Xenopus tropicalis: one gene and its partners. The protein of the gene in region 1 purifies or fractionates together with the protein of each later gene. This does not show direct contact. Links are inferred from orthologs where the notes say so. Each region holds a gene or a part of one and is shown in the gene's direction. Other genes may lie near its edges.

The links. The genes of interacting proteins can lie anywhere in the genome.
Region 2: the proteins of polr3b (region 1) and polr3g fractionate together in Homo sapiens (co-fractionation; 4 studies listed by BioGRID and IntAct, with this or other methods). This does not show direct contact. The link is inferred for Xenopus tropicalis from reciprocal best matches to the Homo sapiens genes POLR3B and POLR3G.
Region 3: the proteins of polr3b (region 1) and polr2k purify together in Homo sapiens (affinity purification with mass spectrometry; 3 studies listed by BioGRID and IntAct, with this or other methods). This does not show direct contact. The link is inferred for Xenopus tropicalis from reciprocal best matches to the Homo sapiens genes POLR3B and POLR2K.
Region 4: the proteins of polr3b (region 1) and polr3k purify together in Homo sapiens (affinity purification with mass spectrometry; 6 studies listed by BioGRID and IntAct, with this or other methods). This does not show direct contact. The link is inferred for Xenopus tropicalis from reciprocal best matches to the Homo sapiens genes POLR3B and POLR3K.
Region 5: the proteins of polr3b (region 1) and uri1 purify together in Homo sapiens (affinity purification with mass spectrometry; 4 studies listed by BioGRID and IntAct, with this or other methods). This does not show direct contact. The link is inferred for Xenopus tropicalis from reciprocal best matches to the Homo sapiens genes POLR3B and URI1.

Annotation. Positions count from the first base shown.
Region 1 is NC_030679.2:15,932,589-15,936,088, reverse strand, and holds part of polr3b (DNA-directed RNA polymerase III subunit RPC2), read left to right. Parts: intron 1-3,168; coding exon 3,169-3,298; 3' UTR 3,299-3,500. UniProt on the Homo sapiens protein: Catalytic core component of RNA polymerase III (Pol III), a DNA-dependent RNA polymerase which synthesizes small non-coding RNAs using the four ribonucleoside triphosphates as substrates.
Region 2 is NC_030677.2:178,954,538-178,958,484, reverse strand, and holds the start of polr3g (DNA-directed RNA polymerase III subunit RPC7), read left to right. Parts: upstream 1-1,147; 5' UTR 1,148-1,330; intron 1,331-3,947. UniProt on the Homo sapiens protein: DNA-dependent RNA polymerase catalyzes the transcription of DNA into RNA using the four ribonucleoside triphosphates as substrates.
Region 3 is NC_030682.2:128,131,348-128,135,600, forward strand, and holds polr2k (DNA-directed RNA polymerases I, II, and III subunit RPABC4), read left to right. Parts: upstream 1-1,453; 5' UTR 1,454-1,567; coding exon 1,568-1,628; intron 1,629-2,465; coding exon 2,466-2,558; intron 2,559-3,871; coding exon 3,872-3,894; 3' UTR 3,895-4,065; downstream 4,066-4,253. UniProt on the Homo sapiens protein: DNA-dependent RNA polymerase catalyzes the transcription of DNA into RNA using the four ribonucleoside triphosphates as substrates.
Region 4 is NC_030685.2:40,341,187-40,345,199, forward strand, and holds the start of polr3k (DNA-directed RNA polymerase III subunit RPC10), read left to right. Parts: upstream 1-1,213; 5' UTR 1,214-1,247; coding exon 1,248-1,358; intron 1,359-4,013. Other genes in the region: snrnp25 (U11/U12 small nuclear ribonucleoprotein 25 kDa protein), read right to left, coding at 1,024-1,044. UniProt on the Homo sapiens protein: Core component of RNA polymerase III (Pol III) which synthesizes small non-coding RNAs using the four ribonucleoside triphosphates as substrates. Can mediate Pol I proofreading of the nascent RNA transcript.
Region 5 is NC_030680.2:71,279,342-71,283,357, reverse strand, and holds the start of uri1 (unconventional prefoldin RPB5 interactor 1), read left to right. Parts: upstream 1-1,216; 5' UTR 1,217-1,360; coding exon 1,361-1,435; intron 1,436-4,016. UniProt on the Homo sapiens protein: Involved in gene transcription regulation. Acts as a transcriptional repressor in concert with the corepressor UXT to regulate androgen receptor (AR) transcription.

The DNA of each region.
Region 1 (3,500 bases):
GCAAAACAAGCCATGGAATTAGCAATCCAAGAATTCAAAGAAATGAAAGTATTGATTCAGGTACCCCAAAAAGAAAAATTCAGGGGGGTCTACTCCCCAATCTTCCTTGTACCAAAACCAAACGGGAAATACAGAACCATCATAGATCTAAGATATTTAAATCAATTTATATTCAAGAAGAAGTTCAAAATGGAATCAATAAGATCCACCCTGTTAGCGCTTCGCGAAGGGGATGTGATGTGTACTATAGATCTAAAAGACGCCTACCTTCATATTCCCATAAGGGAATGTCACCATAAATTCTTAAGAGTAGCCATAAGGGGACCTGCAGGAACAGAACACCTTCAATTCGCAGCCCTGCCGTTTGGAATATCGAGTGCACCAAGAGTCTTTACAAAGGTAATAATAGTAGTCGCAGCGTACTTAAGAACTCAAGGTATTGCTATTATTCCTTATCTGGACGATTGTCTACTAAAAGCAGAAACCGATTTAGGGTTACAAAGGAACCTATTCAAAGCAATAGAGGTTTTCCAGTCATTGGGCTGGTTAATAAATTGGGAAAAATCCAATCTAAATCCTACAAAAGAGATAAAGTTTTTGGGAATGATCTGGAACACAGAAGAAGGAAGAATTTTCCTTCCTCCAGGAAAAAGGGAAAAAATCAGAGACAGAGTGCGCAAGTTTCAAAACAAAAAATTTTCTTCAATAAAGCAGGGTTTAGAAATTTTGGGTCTTTTTTCAGCAGTATTAGAAGCAGTTCCATGGGGTCGTGCCCATATGAAGGACCTGCAAAAATATATGAACTCAGTTTGGGATCATCAGAAGGCATCACTCAGAAAGAAACTCTATGTTCCACCGGAAATAAAGAAATCTCTTACTTGGTGGTTACACCCAGGGAACCTTTCAAAAGGTTCATCCCTATTTCCTATTCCTCCCTTAGTCATCACAACAGACGCAAGTGGCAAAGGTTGGGGAGCACATTTAGGAAACCTGGTAGAGCAAGGTATCTGGGAAAAAGGTATTGGTCATCAGGCAGCAAACTCCTTAGAGTTGGAAGCAGTATGGAGAGCTCTGCTTGCTTTCAAAACTATTGTAAAAGACCAAAATGTTCTAATACATACAGACAATGTGGCAACAGCCTACTATATAAATCACCAAGGAGGTTCCAGAAGCAAAGATCTGGGAATGAGAATAAAAAAGATCATGGGCTGGGGAGAAAAAAATCTAAAAAGTATTCTAGCCCGCCATATCTCTGGGCACAGCAATATCAGAGCAGACTTTTTAAGTCGCAGGTTGATACTCCCCGGGGAGTGGAGTCTAGATCCAGAAACATTTCTTCAGATTTGCAAGGTCTGGGGTTCTCCAGAAATAGACCTCATGGCCTCAAAGTACAATGCAAAGCATCAAAGATATTTTTCCCTTACAGCAGGCCAAGGCGAGGAAGCAGTGGATGCTCTAGCCCAATCATGGGATTTCAGCCTAGCATATGTCTTTCCGCCTATCCCTATGTTAGCAAGAGTGATCAAGAAAATTGCACTTTGCTCAACAGAAGTGATTCTAATAGCTCCTGCCTGGCCCAGAAGGAGTTGGTACTCCAGTCTCCTCCAACTTTCTGTCAGTCCTCCTTGGCTCCTTCCAGTGAAGGAAAATCTCCTACACCAGGGACCAATTTTGCATCCAAACCCTGCAGCTCTTCAGCTCACAGCATGGAGACTGAAAGGGATGTTATGAAAGCACAAGGGATATCTTCACCAGTCATTGAAGTTCTGTTACAGAGCAGGAAAGAAATTACAAATAAAATTTATCAAAGAATTTGGTCTTGTTTCAGGAAGTGGTGCTCAAATAAGAAACTAACTCCAGAAGATGTTCCAGTGTCAATCATATTAGATTTTCTACATGATGGATTTAAGAAGAAATTAGCTCCAAATACACTTAAGGTACACATTGCGGCCTTATCAGCTTTCAAGAACATATCCTTGGCGGAGCATCCATTGATCAAAAGATTTGTCAGGGCTGTTCAAAATATTAGACCTAAGACAAATAACCTAACTCCAAATTGGGACTTAGACATTGTGTTAAGAGCCTTACAAAATGTTCCTTTTGAACCCTTGGAAGAAGTTTCCCTGTATCATCTGTCCATTAAAACAGTATTTTTAGTGGCAGTTTGTTCAGCCAGACGCGTAGGAGAACTGCAAGCTTTATCATGTAAAAATTCGTGTCTACAAGTTTTTCCAGACAGGATCATTCTCAAAGCAGATCCTTGGTTCAGACCTAAAGTCTCATCTAATTTTCATAGAAACTTTGAAGTCATTCTTCCAGCTTTTTTTGCAGAACCAAGAAATAAAGTGGAGGAAAAGCTACACTTACTGGATGCCAAAAGATGTGTTTTGTTCTATTTAAACAAGGTAAAACCTTTTCGTATATCTCATAACCTTTTCGTTTCCTTTTGGGGAAAGAACAAGGGGAAGCGTGCCTCAAAAACTTCCATTTCCAGATGGATAAAACAGGCAATTTCCTTAGCCTATTCTGCTTCAGGAAAATCAATACCTCCAAACCTCAAGGCACATTCTACCAGAGCAGTGTCAGCCTCACAGGCAGAAGTTGGAGGTGTGTCAGTGGACCAGATATGTAGAACAGCTTCGTGGGCAAGTTTCAGAACATTTGCAGAGCATTACCGACTGAACGTAGGTACCCCTGGGGAAGTGGCGTTCGCAAATACGGTACTTTATTCAAATTGTAAAAAAAAAACCCCTTGACGTACTGCTACTCAACTCTCTCTAGTAAGTGCTGCCAAGGGACGTGAGGGAAATAACGGATTTATACTTGCGTAAATTCCTTTTCCCTCAGTCCCGAAGGCAGCACAATATCCCTCCCTTACAGTAAATATTCTATCAGCATTGTGTATGTGTCTTATTGCTTGAGAAAATCACTGAGGGCTAGAGGGAAGCAGAGGGACTTATAGGAGATGAGGGGGTGGAGTAATTAATTGGGGGGTGTGGTGTTTTCCTACCAGGTGGAAGTCATCTCTCTAGTAAGTGCTGCCTTCGGGACTGAGGGAAAAGGAATTTAAGTAAGTATAAATCCGTTATTTAGCCTTGATTTTTTGTTGAGCTTTAGTTTCCCTTTAAGAAAGAACCCTTGCTAATGGTTGTTTGTCCTTGTGTCTAGGTGCCATTTCTGCAAGTCGTCTTGTCATGTCTCCTCCTTGAGGATCCCCTACGCCTGCAAGTTGCTCTTCCAAGAGCTCCAGTCAATGAATATTATCCCCAGACTCAAACTGGCCAAGTATAATGAATAAACTGACTAGAGATGCACCAAATCCAGGATTCAGCTTGGGATTTGGCCAAGATGCAGCCTTTTCCAGCATGATTTGGATCCAGCCGAACCACTCCGAATCCTTAAAATCACTTGACTTTTTGTAACATAAACACAGTTCTCTTTAACCCCTCCGTAGCCTAATTTGCACATACAAATTAGGATTCGGATTCAGTTCAGTATTT
Region 2 (3,947 bases), on another chromosome or scaffold:
CAGAGGCTATTATCCCCCCACTGCTACTATAGGCACCATCTCTCCCTACTATACCTGCTATCCCACAGCCACAGTCCCTTCCCAGAGGCTATTATCCCCCTGCTACTATAGGCACCATCTCTCCCTACTATACCTGCTATCCCACAGCCACAGTCCCTTCCCAGAGGCTATTATCCCCCCACTGCTACTATAGGCACCATCTCTCCCTACTATACCTGCTATCCCACAGCCACAGTCCCTTCCCAAAGGGTATTATCCCCCACTGCTACTATAGGCACCATCTCTCCCTACTATACCTGCTATCCCACAGCCACAGTCCCTTCCCAGAGGCTATTATCCCCCCACTGCTACTATAGGCACCATCTCTCCCTACTATACCTGCTATCCCACAGCCACAGTCCCTTCCCAGAGGCTATTATCCCCCACTGCTACTATAGGCACCATCTCTCCCTACTATACCTGCTATCCCACCGCCACAATCCCTTCCCAGAGGCTATTATCCCCCCACTGCTACTATAGGTACCATCTCCCCCTACTATACCTGCTATCCCACAGCCACAGTCCCTTCCCAGAGGCTATTATCCCCCCACTGCTACTATAGGTACCATCTCCCCCTACTATACCTGCTATCCCACAGCCACAGTCCCTTCCCTACCTACTATATTCAATATATCACAGACTCTTCCCAGAGGCTACTATTTACACTACTTTGCAAAAGCTGAACATGCCCTTTGACAGCATTTTGACGAAGACAACTATGTCAAATTTAGAAAGATTAGTAGTTAAACTGGCAAAAAGTAATTTACTCCAACTTTTTAAAAGAAAATAAAAACAGTGTGGCATAAAAAGAAAAACATTTGATATTTAGACAAATGCCAAATTTATCTTCTCTGAACAGACATATTGTATAATATTTATTTTCTGGGCTCCAGCAGTTGCACCTCACTGATGGTGGCTGTGTAATGCATGATTAGAGCTAACTGCTGATAGTTGCCAGTACATTAGTTTTGTGTTCCCCTTTAAGAACACATAATGATCAATGTACAGCGCCTTTCCACTGAAAGGGCTGTGCTTCATGTTGTGTTTAGTAAGCCTGAACACTAACAAAGGGAAGCTCTACCCTATATAGTTTTACTGCTGAGCAGAACCTAATTAGTTTAGAATCAGTTACACTGCCTGATGCTCGTTAGGACTTGCTGACAAGCACTGCCCCCACTGGCTTATCCCTACTGCACCAGGATTTACTTGTGAATGTCATTGTAACGCAGATTTGGTGAATCAGCCGAGTTCTATGTTTGATTCATCAGCGAGAAATTATATCAGACTGAAGGTAAAATGATTCGCTTAAGTATATGAATTTAATATCATGTCTATAATTCTATTAATCTATGAAAACACCCAAATGTAAGATGTGTTAAAGCACAGATATAAGCACATTTTAGGCCATTATAAAATCAGTTACAGTTGGATCAATGATATTTAGCAGCATTGGCACAGATTGGCATATTGGGGCTTGCATTTATTGACTTCTACTGAAGCTGAATGTTGAAATGTTTTTGAATGTATTATTTAATAATGAGTTAAGCTTGTTTGCCTAAAGTGGGCCTATGAAAATAAATGCCTTTTAATATTTTATTGTTCAACTTGGGGTCCTTCAGCTGCTGGAAGCTGCAACTCTTAGTGCTCTTAGCTGGGTGTGGTTGGGGCATGACAGGGAATGCTTTAGGGCAGGACATAGAGAGCTTCTAGTCCTCATCATGTCCTTTGTAGAAGTACAAATAACAATCATTAAAAATGTATATTCTTATATACATTCTTAGTTTTTACATTTACAGTGTTGCCTGTGGCCCTTCTAGTTTTGTTCAACTAGAACATTCAATGTCAGCTGATGACTTTCAGGTGATTATAGCAGCTGTACCTGGGGGCCTATTTAGTGTGCTGAGTAAAATGGCAAATGTCACCATCTGAAAGCCAGACTTTATGCCATTATTCTATGCAAGCTACGTAATTACATTGTTTTTTACACAGCGAAGCCTCGCAATGAATGACGAATTTTGCTGCCATTTTTGCACAGCATAATAAGTAGGCATCTTAGTGTGCTGTAATTGGTGCAAACCCCAGCAGGTGTAATTCATTGCTATCAATTATTTTAATGAGAATGTTGTAAGAATACACCTGAGCTTCACTAAAAAAAGTATATAATTTTAAAGGGAAAGCTATGTTGATGAACAAAAGCTGGAGGGCTGCAATTTGGGCATACCTAATTTTTATAGGGTCATAGCGCCTTAACACAGTGAGGTGAAACATCTCAAAAAAAATGGTACGGCCGACCCATCAAATCAAATGGTACGGTCTGACCCCCCCTCAAATCAAATGGTACGGTCCGCCCCCTCCAAAAAATGGTACGGTCCAACCCCCCCCTCGAAACAAATGGTACGGTCCAACCCCCCTCCAAAAAATGGTACGGTCTGATCCCCCCTTCAAAAAAATAGCATGGTACGGCCTGATCCCCCGTCGGAAAAAAGTGGTACGGTCCGACACCCTCTCCAAAAAAATGGTACGGTCCGATCTCCCCCCCAAAAAAATGGTACGGTCCGACCCCCCCCTTCAAATAAAATGGTGCGGGCTGACCCCCCTCCAAAAAAATGGTACGGTCCAACCAAAATTTTTTGGAATGGGGGTCGGACTGTACCATTTTTTGGAGGGGGGCGGGGTTGGACGTACCATTTTTTTGAGAGGGAGGGATGGACCGTGACATTTTTGGAGGGGGGGTCGGACCATACCAATTTTAAGAGCGGGGGAGGTCGGACCGTACCATTTTATTTTGGAGGGGTAGGACCGTACCATTTTTTAGAGGGGATGGGGACGGACCGTACCATTTTCAAGAGCGGGGGGGTCGGACCGTACCATTTTTTAGAGCGGGGAGTCGGGCCATACCATTTTTAGAGGGGGAGGGGACCGTACCAATTTTTTTCGAGTGGGGGGGGATGGACGTACCAGTCGGACCGTACCATTTTTAAGAGCGGGGGTCGGACCGCACCAATTTTTATGGGGGGATAGGACCGTACCATTTTATTTTGGGTGGGGGGGGGAGTCGGACCGTACCATTTTTTGAGTGGGGGGGATGGACCGTACCATTTTTAAGAGCGGGGGGGGTTTCGGTCCGTACCATTTTTTTCGAGTGGGGGGATGAACGTACCATTTTTAAGAGTGGGGGGTCGGACCGTACCATTTTTAAGAGTGGGGGGGGGGGTTCGGACTGTACCATTTTTTGAGTGGGAGGGGGGTCGGACCGTACCATTTTTAAGAGCGGGGGGGTGATGGACCGTACCATTTTTAAGAGCGGGGGGGGTCGGACCGTACCATGTTTAAGAGCGGGGGGGTTCGGACTGTACCATTTTTTGAGTGGGGGGGGGGATGGACCGTACCATTTTTAAGAGCGGGGGGGTCGGACCGTACCATTTTTAAGAGCGGGGGGGGGGGTTCGGACTGTACCATTTTTAAGAGCGGGGGGGTCGGACCGTACCATTTTTTGAGGGGGGGGGTGGACCGTACCATTTTTAAAAGCGGGGGGGGGGGGGTCGGACCGTACCATTTTTTGAGTGGGGGGGGGGATGGACCGTACCATTTTTGAGTGGGGGGGGGATGGACCGTACCATTTTTAAGAGCGGGGGGGGGTTCGGACCGTACCATTTTTTGAGTGGGGGGGGATGACCGTACCATTTTTAAGAGCGGGGGGGGGTTCGGACCGTACCATTTTTTGAGTGAGGGGGATGGACCGTACCATTTTTAAGAGCGGGGGTGGTTCGGACTGTACCATTTTTGAGTGGGGGGGGGTGGACCGTACCATTTTTAAGAGCGGGGGGGTCGGACCGTACCATTTTTAAGAGCGGGGGGGTTCGGACTGTACCATTTTTAAGAGCGGGGGGGGTCGGACCGTACCATTT
Region 3 (4,253 bases), on another chromosome or scaffold:
CACTGAATTATTGCTAAACTCATGCTCAGCAGTTCCTCATTATAAAAAGAAACATTGCAATTCACTTTATTTCCTACAGTGTAATCCAGGGGTCCCCAAACTTTTTTTAACCTGTGAGCAACATTTAAATATAAAAAAAAATGTAGGGAGCAACACAAGCATGAACAAAGTTCCTAGGCAGTGACCAATAAAGGCTGTGATTGGTTATTAGATGGCCCACTGTGGACTGGCAGACTACAGGAGGCTCTATTTGGCAGTACACATGGACTTTAGGTCTCCAAAACTTGACTCCAAAAAAAAATAAGCACCTGCTTTGAGGCCACTCAGAGCAACATCCAAGGGGTTGGGGAGCAACATGTTGCTCATGAGCCGCTGGCTGGGGATCACTGGTGTAACCCATACATGCCTATATTTAAAGCAAGAGGCTTATGAAGTATGCTTAGTATTGGGGTGCACACATTTTAGCATGATCCATAAAGCAAGGTTTTCAAAAGCAAGATTTAGGGAATTTGCAGTATCTGTTTTAATACAAATATCCTGCTTCCAACCAGAAACCAAACCAAACTATTAGGCTGAAACAACCAACAGCCAGGAGACAGTTAACTGCTAAACTATTTCAAAAACCACCAATAAAACCTGTAATAAAATCCTCACAATGAAATATTTCTGTTCACCTGAATCCTCTCTGGAGGGTCACCTGGAGACTATCTCTTGCTCAGGATCAATGAAACTGAGCTAAAACTGGAAAACCTGTAAACCCCCCACTTTTTTTCAAATGTGTTCCAAAGGTCATGTGATAAGTACCCATGGTGCTTTTCTTCAGTCATACCCATGATGCCTTTGTTCAGCCATTCCAATCAACTAATTAAAGTGATGAGTGGAAATTGTGTTATTTCTAAAAAAAAAAACTTTGTTATAATGTCAGCCTTTATCTAAGGTTGGCATTAGATAAATTTAAAATAAGTAGTAATGATAGCATTAGTTTTCCTAAAGGATCAGTAACAAAACATTGTTTTTGGCACCAAGTGGTATGATAGTTTCTTGATTCACTGTCTGCACATATAAAAGCAAATTCCGGCACAAAAGCATGTTTAGAGTACATTTTTCACAGCAACAATAGTATATAAGACAGGCGTCCCAGCAACAAACGCCATACCTGAAATCCATAATAAAATCAGAAAATTCATACTATTATATAAATAAATGACACCATACAATCACTTTAATAATGCAGAATAGCAACGGTGCCTTTCTGCATAGTGAAAGAATACTAGCATACTAATAAAGCTTGGAAACATATAGTTGCCCACACTAAAGATGGCCGTCGCACACACGCAGCGAACGTCACGCGTAGGAGCGCTTTCTGATGTCGTAGGAATCGTGCGCCTCGGATGTTTGGTGCATGCTGAGTTGAAAGCAGTGCTGTGCCGATATATTGTAGGCCGAGTAGTCACATTTATTGTATGTAGTGACGTTACGGTAGGGAGAGTGAGAGAAAGGCTGTAACTGCAAATTGACTTTTCTGCAGGAATAAAATACCCGCAATTTATGTTATTCAGGTGAAAAAATGGAAGGCCAGAAGGACGCACCTCCTCCTAAGCAGCAGCCGATGATATACATTTGTGGAGGTAAGGTTTTTCTCTCAAAGCAGTCAGTTTTACTCGGGGGTGCCTTTAGAGGAAGTTATTGGATTCAAAAGACATCAGGGACCTACAACTTCGGCTCCTGGTCACCTGCAATCCCAGCATCCCACCCTGAGTTTTGCCAAAAGTGCCTAATATCCTAAAGAGAAGTTATATGCCCAAAAAACCCTCCAGTGAATATATATATTCTAAACTAGTTGAACCTGTGCCATTTTAATTAGTTTCCCATAAGTCCCTTGCACTGAGCATATGCATTACTTTTGGTTCTGTACATCTGTTTCCTGTGTTTGGGACTAGTCACTAGGAACTATTGGGATACTGCAGAAAGATGGAGGCATGGGAGCTCCTGTATTCACTAGGGAGCTGAATTGGATAAATGTGGGCTTTTAAATGCCATTGTTGGTCATGAATTAAAGGGAGCCAATTATTGATGAAAAAAATGATTTCAAGAGGCCCTGCAGTTTCCAGCATTCTCAGGAGAGCTGAATGATACTGGTGATTGCAGTGCTAGTTTAGATCATGTTGAGAATGTTAATTGGCTAGTGTCTGCAAATGTCGGGATAATATTAAGAGAAGAGAGTGCAACTACGAATCAATAGCGAGCTACCACTAGATTGAAACATTGGATACAGGCACCCAGACAAGACCCCCTCACAATACCCAGAATATAAACATCTTATTTTTGTGTTGTTCCATTTGAACTCACAACAGTCCTTGCAGACATTGTCTTTTTACAAGACTTGTATATTTATCTTAGTCTTTATCAACATTGATTTTCTTTAGATTTTAAACTGCATGTTATTTTCTCTCATCTTTATTTAGAATGTCACACGGAAAATGAAATAAAAGCGAGAGATCCAATCAGGTGCAGAGAATGTGGTTACAGAATAATGTACAAGAAAAGAACAAAACGATGTATCCTTTTTTTCTGGTTACCTGCACATTTACTCCAGACTGAATGCGTGTAGGAACGGAGAATGGCCTGTAAAATAGGCTTGTATTAAACTTATTTCCATTAAAGGGGTTGTTCAATTTTATGATATTCTGAGACAGTTTGCAATTGGTCTTTGTATTATATGTGTGTGTTTTTAATTATTAAGCTATTTGTCTCCAGATTGGAAATTCAGCAGATATCAGGTTGCTAGGGTCCAAATTACCCTAGCAGCCATGCAGTGGTGTAAATGAGAAATACTAATACAAATAGGAGAGGCCTAAATAGAAGGATGTAAAAAAAATAGCAATACAAATAAAATTGTAACCTCAATAGTTGTTTGGATTCCCACAGTGGCCCCAAATCAAATTAAAAGCTAAAAAAAAATAAAAATAAGAAATGTTGACCAATTGAATAGTTTAGCAACTGAATTGCTAATTCTAAAACATACTGAAACATAATTGAAGGTGAACTTCCCCTTTGAAAAACATTAATTGTTTTTGTTACCATTTCCACTAAACTGTGCAGAAAGTGTAATTAAAGAACTTTCTTTTTGCAACTATTTTTTCAAAACAATTATGGAAGAAGGAAAAAGCATTTGATCAAATAATGCATTTTATTAAAAGAATAAGCAAAATAAAATCTAAGCAAAACGTTTGACCCCAATGTGTGTCTCTGCTCTGTTAGCTATGGTGCTTTCCATTTCGTAATATGAGGAGAGTTAAGGTTGTTGAAACCGCCACTAACGTTCAGGGCTGAAACGGCAGATAAGGAGGTAGAAACAATATGATTTCTGCCGACTCAGCCCTGATGGCAGATTTTGCTCAGACGCCTTCTATGGCGCCCGATCAAAATCTTTTAACCTGGCCGATCGGCGAGTCGACCGATATCAGCAGCCTCCTGTGATATCGGTCGACTCGGCGACTTGCCAAACACGCATCAAATATCGTATGAAACAAGGTTTTGTACGATATTATCGGTGCGTGTATGGCCAGCTTTATGGTGGACAGGGGTGTTTTTTCCTCCAGTGTTTTTTTGGAGTATGGCAGCAGTAGAACAAATAGTTGATGTGCCATAAGCATTATTCAGTCACGAGAGGAAGATTAAGGGAGAGCTGGAAACAAATTTAAAGCCAAAAAGTACTTTGTAAAGGGGAACTTCACACCATACATAACAATCCACTAAATTGTAAAATGGATTTATTTAACATCTACTGCAAATTTATTTATGGTACATGAGTGCTACACTTTATTTTCCATTATCTGATTCAATATTTCCTTAATTCTTTCAATTTCAGTGGTTGTGTTTGATGCTCGCTGACCTGGATAAAATTCAGTTACATGTGTCTGACATCTGCTCTACATATATATATGATTAAGTTACATATATATCAGATTTTGTTAATTAATGATAGTGTTCCTTGTTCTTGTGTAAAGCAAGGTATTACATGTTTTGTAATAAAGATTTTTAGAATTTTGTTTTTGTAAACATAACTCGTTGTCATCAGCGTAATTCTTTCTCAGTAATGAAAACTGCTGCATATCACCACCTCTCTGGTCTTATAATGAAGTTGCAGTCCAACAGGTCCCTTTTAGCTGCTGCAAATCCTGTCAGTATGGCTGTATTTTGCTGTGCCTACAACCTAATTGGTTTCCTGCACCTACCATATTACTGTAAAT
Region 4 (4,013 bases), on another chromosome or scaffold:
TTCCCAGACCCACCACTTCTGGCATTCAGGCAGCCCCCAAACCTAAAACAACTAATAACAAGAAGTGCCTTAATTCAACCCAACAAAAAAGGAACTTATCCCTGTGGCAAAAAAACAATGCAAAACCTGCCCACACATCTGTAATTCAGATTTCAGACACATTAGAGGAATACAACATCCATGGTCAGTACAACTGTTCTTCTTCCAATATGGTGTACTTAATACAGTGCACTAGATACTGAACAGGAGGACTGTATATAGGAGAGACTGGTCAAAGCCTGAGAAAAAGAAATACACACCACCGTTTTACTATAAGAACGCGATTTCTGATGGTGGCCCTGGTTCTATCAATTAGATGCTCTGCTGTACAGTGCTTCGTACATAAGTACTGTAATGCTTATACCATGTGGGGTTGATTCTCAGCACATGAAAAACCACAGGCCAAGAATCAGTTCCTTGGGCATCAGCCTCCTACTTTTCCAGGTCAAACCACTGCGTTGGCCCAGGTGCAAGCATACAATATGAATATCCACTCTAAAATGCTAAATTTACAGTTTCTTTGCTGATATCTGCCATGTGTGCCTGCACCCAGGCCAGCCCAATAGTTTCTGGTGCAGGCAAGGTAGGAGGCTGTCAGCGGAGGGACTGATTATCTGCATGCGGGTTTCCATGCGGCATCAGCCGTATATAAATAAGAATATAAATAGTTTATATAAACAAGCTTCTATGCAGCCATGGAGGAAGCACTTCAAGATAAAAAAAGGAGAAAGGCACAGGATACACAGCAGATACCAGATTAACACGAATATACCACCACTGCATTTTATTACAGAGCATATATGTTATATGATATCCAAACCTGTGCCTTTTCTCCTTTTCAACTTAAATGGCTGCAAGACTTCTAGTTCTGCTTTTGCTTTGCAAAAATTGCTCTTCTCGTGTTATCAGTTTTTGGGAGCTGGACTTAAATGTAGAAATTTAGAATTTCGAGTTAAGTTTTTCAACGCAATTTCCACTACCCACCTTTAGTTCACACCGTTTCATTCAAGTTACAAATGGAACTGTCGCAGATTTCTAGGGCGCCCATTAAAGACGTCATCACCGGGCGGAAACGTGCGCAATAAGATGTAATGTAGGTGAATGCGAGGCTAGGGCAAACGCGTGGTGATCATTCTGCTTAGGCAGCGGTACTGGCGTCTGGAGGATGAAGTGGTTGATGCGAAGTTTGAGCTAATCTGTTAGCAGCAATGTTGCTATTTTGCCCGACGTGTGGGAATGTGCTGATCGTGGAGGAGGGACAGAAGTGCTACAGGTTTGCCTGTAATACCTGCCCTTATGTGCACAACGTTAATCGCAAGGTATAATGAGGTCTTCTGAAGTGATAGAAATATGGTTTTAAGCGGCGTAAGTGTAGTCCTGGTGGCTACGAAGCCTTTTTATGCCTTGTGTATGCCAAGCATTGCTAATTGGCAGATAACATTACATTAGCAACAGTACAATGCGCTGATTTTTAAGTGCGGGATGAATCTGTATAAATTGCTAACAACATATTCTGGTAATGGCTGGGGCTTTTAGCTCTAAATTGTGTAAGTTTAATAGACTTACAAAGTTAAAAAGGTGATCTTATCATTTATGTTTTATGATAAATACTAAATAAAATGCATAGTAAATAGATACACCTGCTACCCCCACCCCCCAAAATGAACATTTGAATATACGCATATGACCTGTGATTTTTTTTTTTGTCTGATTTTTGCTAGTTTGTGGCCAAGGTCTTGCTTTTCTTCCTTTTTGGCTATTACCCTTCTGGGAACAAATCATCATAGAAGGGCACACTTTTAACCCTAAATTCACAATACCCAGAACACCACAGCACAATCACTTCCCCTGTGGAAGTGCATTACCTTGCTAAAGCACACTAATATCATAAATATATATTATAAAATGTGTCCTAACACTTTCATAAATAATATCTAAATAAATACATTTGAATATATATTAATACATAGGGAGTTCTGACCGCTAGATACTTATTTGACAAACTTTAAGGGGAAATACTGTAACCCTATCTTCACCACTTCTGGCACCTTTGACAGTGTTACACTCCACGAGTGGCGCTTACCTGATGGCACGGGACAAACCTGAATCACTCCGCAGTGGTATTGGGAGAGACTGGGTACCTGGTACTTATTAGCGCAGTGCCTCCACCTAGTGGGATCCTGGAGTGCACCTACGGGTGGCCCCACTAGGAACAATAATAATGCACACACAGTACTTGATAAACGAAATAACTTTTATCTGAAATAAAGGGGAAACTAATACAGATAACACTCCTATCCAAGTGGCAATAAGGGCCTTACTAACTAGCTTTGCCAGCGCAAGCTGTCTCACTAACTATGTACAGTCCTTTAGCTCAGTCCCAAAAGAAACAGTTTATATAGTTTAAATCTTCAAGCGCTCCTTTATTACTTTCACTTTAATGATACTCACTCCAGGAATCTCTTTGGGTGATTCACACAGAATCTTCAGGCGAGTCCAGCACTCACAGCCATGCAGTGCGACTACTAGCCCCTTTAGCTACTCAGATGGGATTCCCCTGCAGGTGTTTGTTCCTCCAGTCAGGACTCCTCACAGGATCTCTGTCTCTCCAGGTACAGGGTCTGCCTTCCCTGTACCAGCCTGTTCCAAAGGCCAGCTTCTTCTTGTGCTGCTCCTCTCTCTGAGCCCACGTGCAGCTTCTGGAGTTCTGGGGCTTTTTCTCTCCTCCCACTGACTTCCTCTCCCAGGCTGCTTTGCAACTTCCGGCAGCCCTGAGCTTGCTGTTCACCTTGTTGCTAGGCAGCAGCTCACAGCACAAAGTCTCAGTGCCAGCTCCCCTACAGGGAACAGCAGCAGGAGGGGGGTAAGTGCAGGGACCCAGCACTACCTCCCTACATTCTCCCCCTGCTTGAATGGGCAACGTCCTCGCTTGCCCTTTCTCACCATTCTTATTCTCCCTAACCTTTGGGGGAGATACACAGGGGAAAGCTTCCTCACTAACTGCCCTGACACTTCCCCTGCCTGAAGGTCTACGCATTCCCAGGCCCAGTCTCTTACTTTTATTGGGGGTGCCAGAGTGCTCAGAGACCATCCTCGTGCCACAGGATTTCTCTTCACAAATATTCACTTCACATGGGAAAGATGTCACATATACATCAGTGAAGTCTTCATTCCGTCCCCAGTCACAGGTGTGGGAAGTATGACCGTACCAACCACAGGTGTAACACCTCACCTGATTACGTCTCTTCCGATACCTCTTTTGGGGTGGCTTCCTCACAGCACAGCCATATGAAATAACTTCTGTAGCTGCAGCATTTTCACGTTGCGTCGGACAGTGTGGGGATATATGGCCCAACCGGCCACAACGGAAGCACTTTGGTGGGTCACCGCGAGCACCACCTGCTTTAGGAAATGAAGAGGGTCTAGACATAGTTGACCCCTCTTCCTTTTCGGACACACGAGCCTTGAGCTGAGCAACCTGTTTTTTTAACTCGGCAATCTCTTCCGCTTTCTGCGAATCACTGGATGTCCTTTCAGAACCACGTCTTTTCTTCTCTCGTCGCAGAACATTAACTTCCTCCTTTCGGATCTCACGGATCAGCTCCTGATAAGTTGGTTCTTTCTTTCCTCTGTAGAAAGATCTCAACATCACAGCTGTGGGGTCCATAGATAAAGCCCCTCTGAATAACTGTTGTAGCCTCATAGAATCAACACGATCTGTAGCAATGATTCTTCGGCAAACAAGTAATTTTAGCATTTGCTGCAGTCGCTTCAAGTACTCAGACAGATTCTCTTTTTCTTTCTGCATGCAAGACTGAAATTTGTACAACATTTCAATTTCATCTTCCACCGGTCCATATGTATCTTCCAGTACGTCTATCAACTTCTCAGGACCATCTTGTGGGCACACCTCTCGTTGGAGCTTAATTAGGTCCAATGCAGGCCCTCGCAAACTCTCCTGGATCTTGCGACAT
Region 5 (4,016 bases), on another chromosome or scaffold:
CAAGCAACTAGGCAACAGATTAGAAGACAGAATAGATCAATAATAGTGGACCTAAAAAATTAATAAATTATAAAAATCATAATACAATGAATCTGTTGATCTGTTTTGAGATGCTTGGGGTCAAAAGCGCCATAAAGGCCAAATGATTTTTTGACTGGAAAGATGAAAAATATTGAATGCTAAATATAAAACAAATACACAAAAAATAAGTCTAATTAAAAGGTTACTTAATAGAGGTCCAGCTATAATTTACTAAATGTTAATAACACGAGGAACATCTGAACATCCCAAATAGCATTGGTGATTGGCTCAACGCACTGTAGACTGCAGCTGAGCATGCTAATGATCCAGTAAGAATACAGAGTATGTACTGACATTTACATGTGGGAATGTGGGAGTGAAGTTAACAGTTGCAGACGTGACACACGCAGCAGGTGCTAACACAGTATCACAGTAATACAGTAGCACAGAAACACAGTACGAGAGTAGCACAGTTTAACACAGACAGTAGTACAGTAACACAGTAGCACAGTAACACAGACAGTAGTACAGTATCACAGTATCACAGTAACACAGTAGCACAGTAGCACAGTAGCACAGTATCACAGTAGCACAGAAACACAGTAGCACAGTAGCACAGTATCATCACAGTAGCACAGTATCACAGTAACACAGTATCACAGTATCACAGTAACACAGTATCACAGTAACACAGTAACACAGTAACACAGTAGCACAGTAGCACAGTAGCACAGTAGCACAGTAACACAGTAACACAGTAGCACAGTAGCACAGTAACACAGTAACACAGTATCACAGTATCACAGTAACACAGTAACACAGTAACACAGTATCATCACAGTATCACAGTAACACAGTAACACAGTATCACAGTATCACAGTAACACAGTAACACAGTAACACAGTATCACAGTAACACAGTAGCACAGTAACACAGTAGCACAGTAACACAGTATCACAGTAACACAGTAACACAGTAACACAGTAACACAGTATCACAGTATCACAGTATCACAGTAACACAGTAAAACAGTATCACAGTAACACAGTAACACAGTAACACAGTATCACAGTAACACAGTAAAACAGTATCACAGTAACACAGTAGCAGAGTCAGGCTGATGAAAGCTTTCCTCCTTGGAAACGTACAGTCCCCACGTGCATTTGCTTCCTAGTTACGAGATTTCCCAGGTCTCATGCTCGCGAGAGTTTGAGGTGAATTTCCTTCCGTGCCTGAGTGGCTCATGCGAGTGGGACTCTCAGAGTCGGGGCCCGAGAAGGTGGGACCACGGTCGGTTCCCGAGTTCCGGGGCAAAGGGGTTTGCGACGGACGGAAAGCATGGAAGAGATAAGGGAGGGTACGAAACTGCTGAGCTCCAGTGATGTGGCCAGACTTCAGGAAGAGCATGGAAAGGTAAACAGAGGACGAGTGCCATGTTACACATGTGAATGTGGCAGAGCATAAGCCAGCCAGGGCAGAGCGCTTATGCACTAGGGTACAAGTGCGCCCAGCGGGCTTAGGGCAGCCTGTACCATGGTTAATATAGACAGTATGGGCTTGTTCCCCAGCAAAGAGAAGAGCACACAGTTGGAATAAACCACTTAGCAGCACATCACTCATTTGCTTTTTATCACTGTAACTTTTAGACTAGTCGGAGCCCATTGTTTTGTACAAAATGGACTATATTTGGGCATTATGACACAGGGCCATTATGACACAGGGCTGAGCATTGGCCATCAGGAAGGTAGCACAGGAAACTGAGAAGCAAAACAAATAAAGGAGGATGTATGTTATTGAGCAGGATGTACAGCTACTGAAAGTTATATAAGTTCCACTTGCACCAGAATATGCAGCTTAGTATTACCATTGGCGCTGCCATAAAATCTGAAAATGTTAAGGTGTAAATGCTTAATCCCATAGGGAACACAGTACTCTGTCATGTCTGTGCACATTTGACAGGTACCCTGTTTATAAGTTAGGGTCAGGCAGTGAGACGCTTCCAGCATCTTTTTAACAGGAGGGCTACAGTATGCACAGCCATGATCTAACTCAGCCGGTTGACTTTGCTAAGCATAATGTACCACTGTGACCTTTGAGTTGACTCAAATTCAGTGTTGTGCTCCATAAGAAATAAAAGTTACATTGGGCATAAAATTGACAACAATTCAGTAAATAAAGCTTGTTATCTTATAAAATTGCAGTTGTCTTAAAAGTGGCAGGACTTGCACCTTTTTTGAGCAGTAATGCTGTGCCAGCTATTAATGCAAACACCAGAGTACCTCTTGTAGCAGGAACAGTCTAAATGTCATAGGCAGTGCTATTGGTATGGCATGAGGCATGTAAATACCTTCTGTTCTCAGAAGGCCTCACACTTCATGTCTTGCAATGTAAAGGACAATTTGGCTCCTTTTACCTCTTCTCATCCTAACCAGGTCAGTTCCTCTGCTTAGCAGTTCACTTACTAGTATTACTGGAATCGTAGTTGAGAGCAAAGAGGCAATAATATAGTTATCTTGGACTCTACAGTGTTCATTGAAGCTGTGTAAGGGTGAAGACACATGGAGCTACTTAGTAGCAGCTACTTGTAATGGCTACTAAACTCCAGAAAATACCATACCATAGATAATACTGAGAATTGCCTCTTCTAACACACACGTAGAGACAATTATCAGTAAATGATCAGCACTGTCTATTTTTGTAGCTGCTACTAATAGCTCCTTGTATCTTCACCCGTATTGTTATCCCTTTAATAATCCATGCTGAAAGCTTGTACCTGAATCCTTTGCCTACAATTAGAAAACTGAAGAGCTAGCCTAGGAAGGATGTGAGCATAGTGTTCCTAATGGAAGGAGTGAGCAAGTTTTGCATATTTTTAACATATTGTAAATTTGGTGGGCTGTAAGCACAATGACTGAGCATATTTTGTACTGGTGCACATGCAGTGCAGCAAGACAAAAGGGTTAATTTGCAAAGAATTATAAGCTTATATAATGCTGAATATGACATTCTTCCAAGCTTCTGATTAGAAGCTAAGAGCTTTAAATCTCTAAGTACAAAGTATAGACTGAGGTATTTTAAGAAGGAGTTTTGGATGATTCCGATTCTCAAGTCTTCTTACCCTCTGGTAACACAAGAACACAGGCTGGGGTTTATTTACTGACATAGGGCAAGTGTGCATTGGTTCAGTAAAACGTTGCTGTTGATCAGTTCGCTCATTGAATCAGTTTACTGGATGTAGAATACCAAAGCCCTTATTTGGGTTCCTATGGGCTAACATATTGGTATAACTAGTAATTTTTGCTTGTATTGCATCATCTGTAGAGTTAGGGCTAATAATCCTATTACGATATTACAAAGCAGAATTAGAAATTTTCTGATTTCTCACTGTGTATCACACTGTGCACTGTTGCACAGACTTTTTTTGTTTTTAGTGCATTTGTCACTGTATGTGTATCGAATAAGTCATTTATGTAGTTATGACAAATGTCAAATGGCACATATATGTTTTTGCCTTTAAAATTTATGCCCACTTTTTCTGTACATGCATTTGTCTTCTGGTACAGTATTATGTGTCCCATTGCCCATCAATATAGTTATCTAATTTTGCCCTAAAAGCATGGACCCACAGGAGTGGAGACAAATGCATAATCTAGAAAGAAATCCAGAATACATGTAAAAAGTAATTTGTAGTGAGCCTTAAAGGAGGACTAAAGGAATATTGTCATGTTTTTTTTTTTTCTCCCAAAAAACACATCCATTAATAGAGCTTCTCCAGCAGAATCCTGCACAGAAATCCACATTTGTGCTGCACAGAAATGTAGGTCATAGTAGCTGATTAATAACCATTTCTCAATGCAGAACACATTGGTTTCTATAGTGACATTTATTGTGAATATAATTAATTACAAATATGCTTTATATTAACAAACTAGAATTCACAATATACTGTGCATTGTGAATCAGTCCCTAAGCAAAAGGTGACTGACAGCAGCCC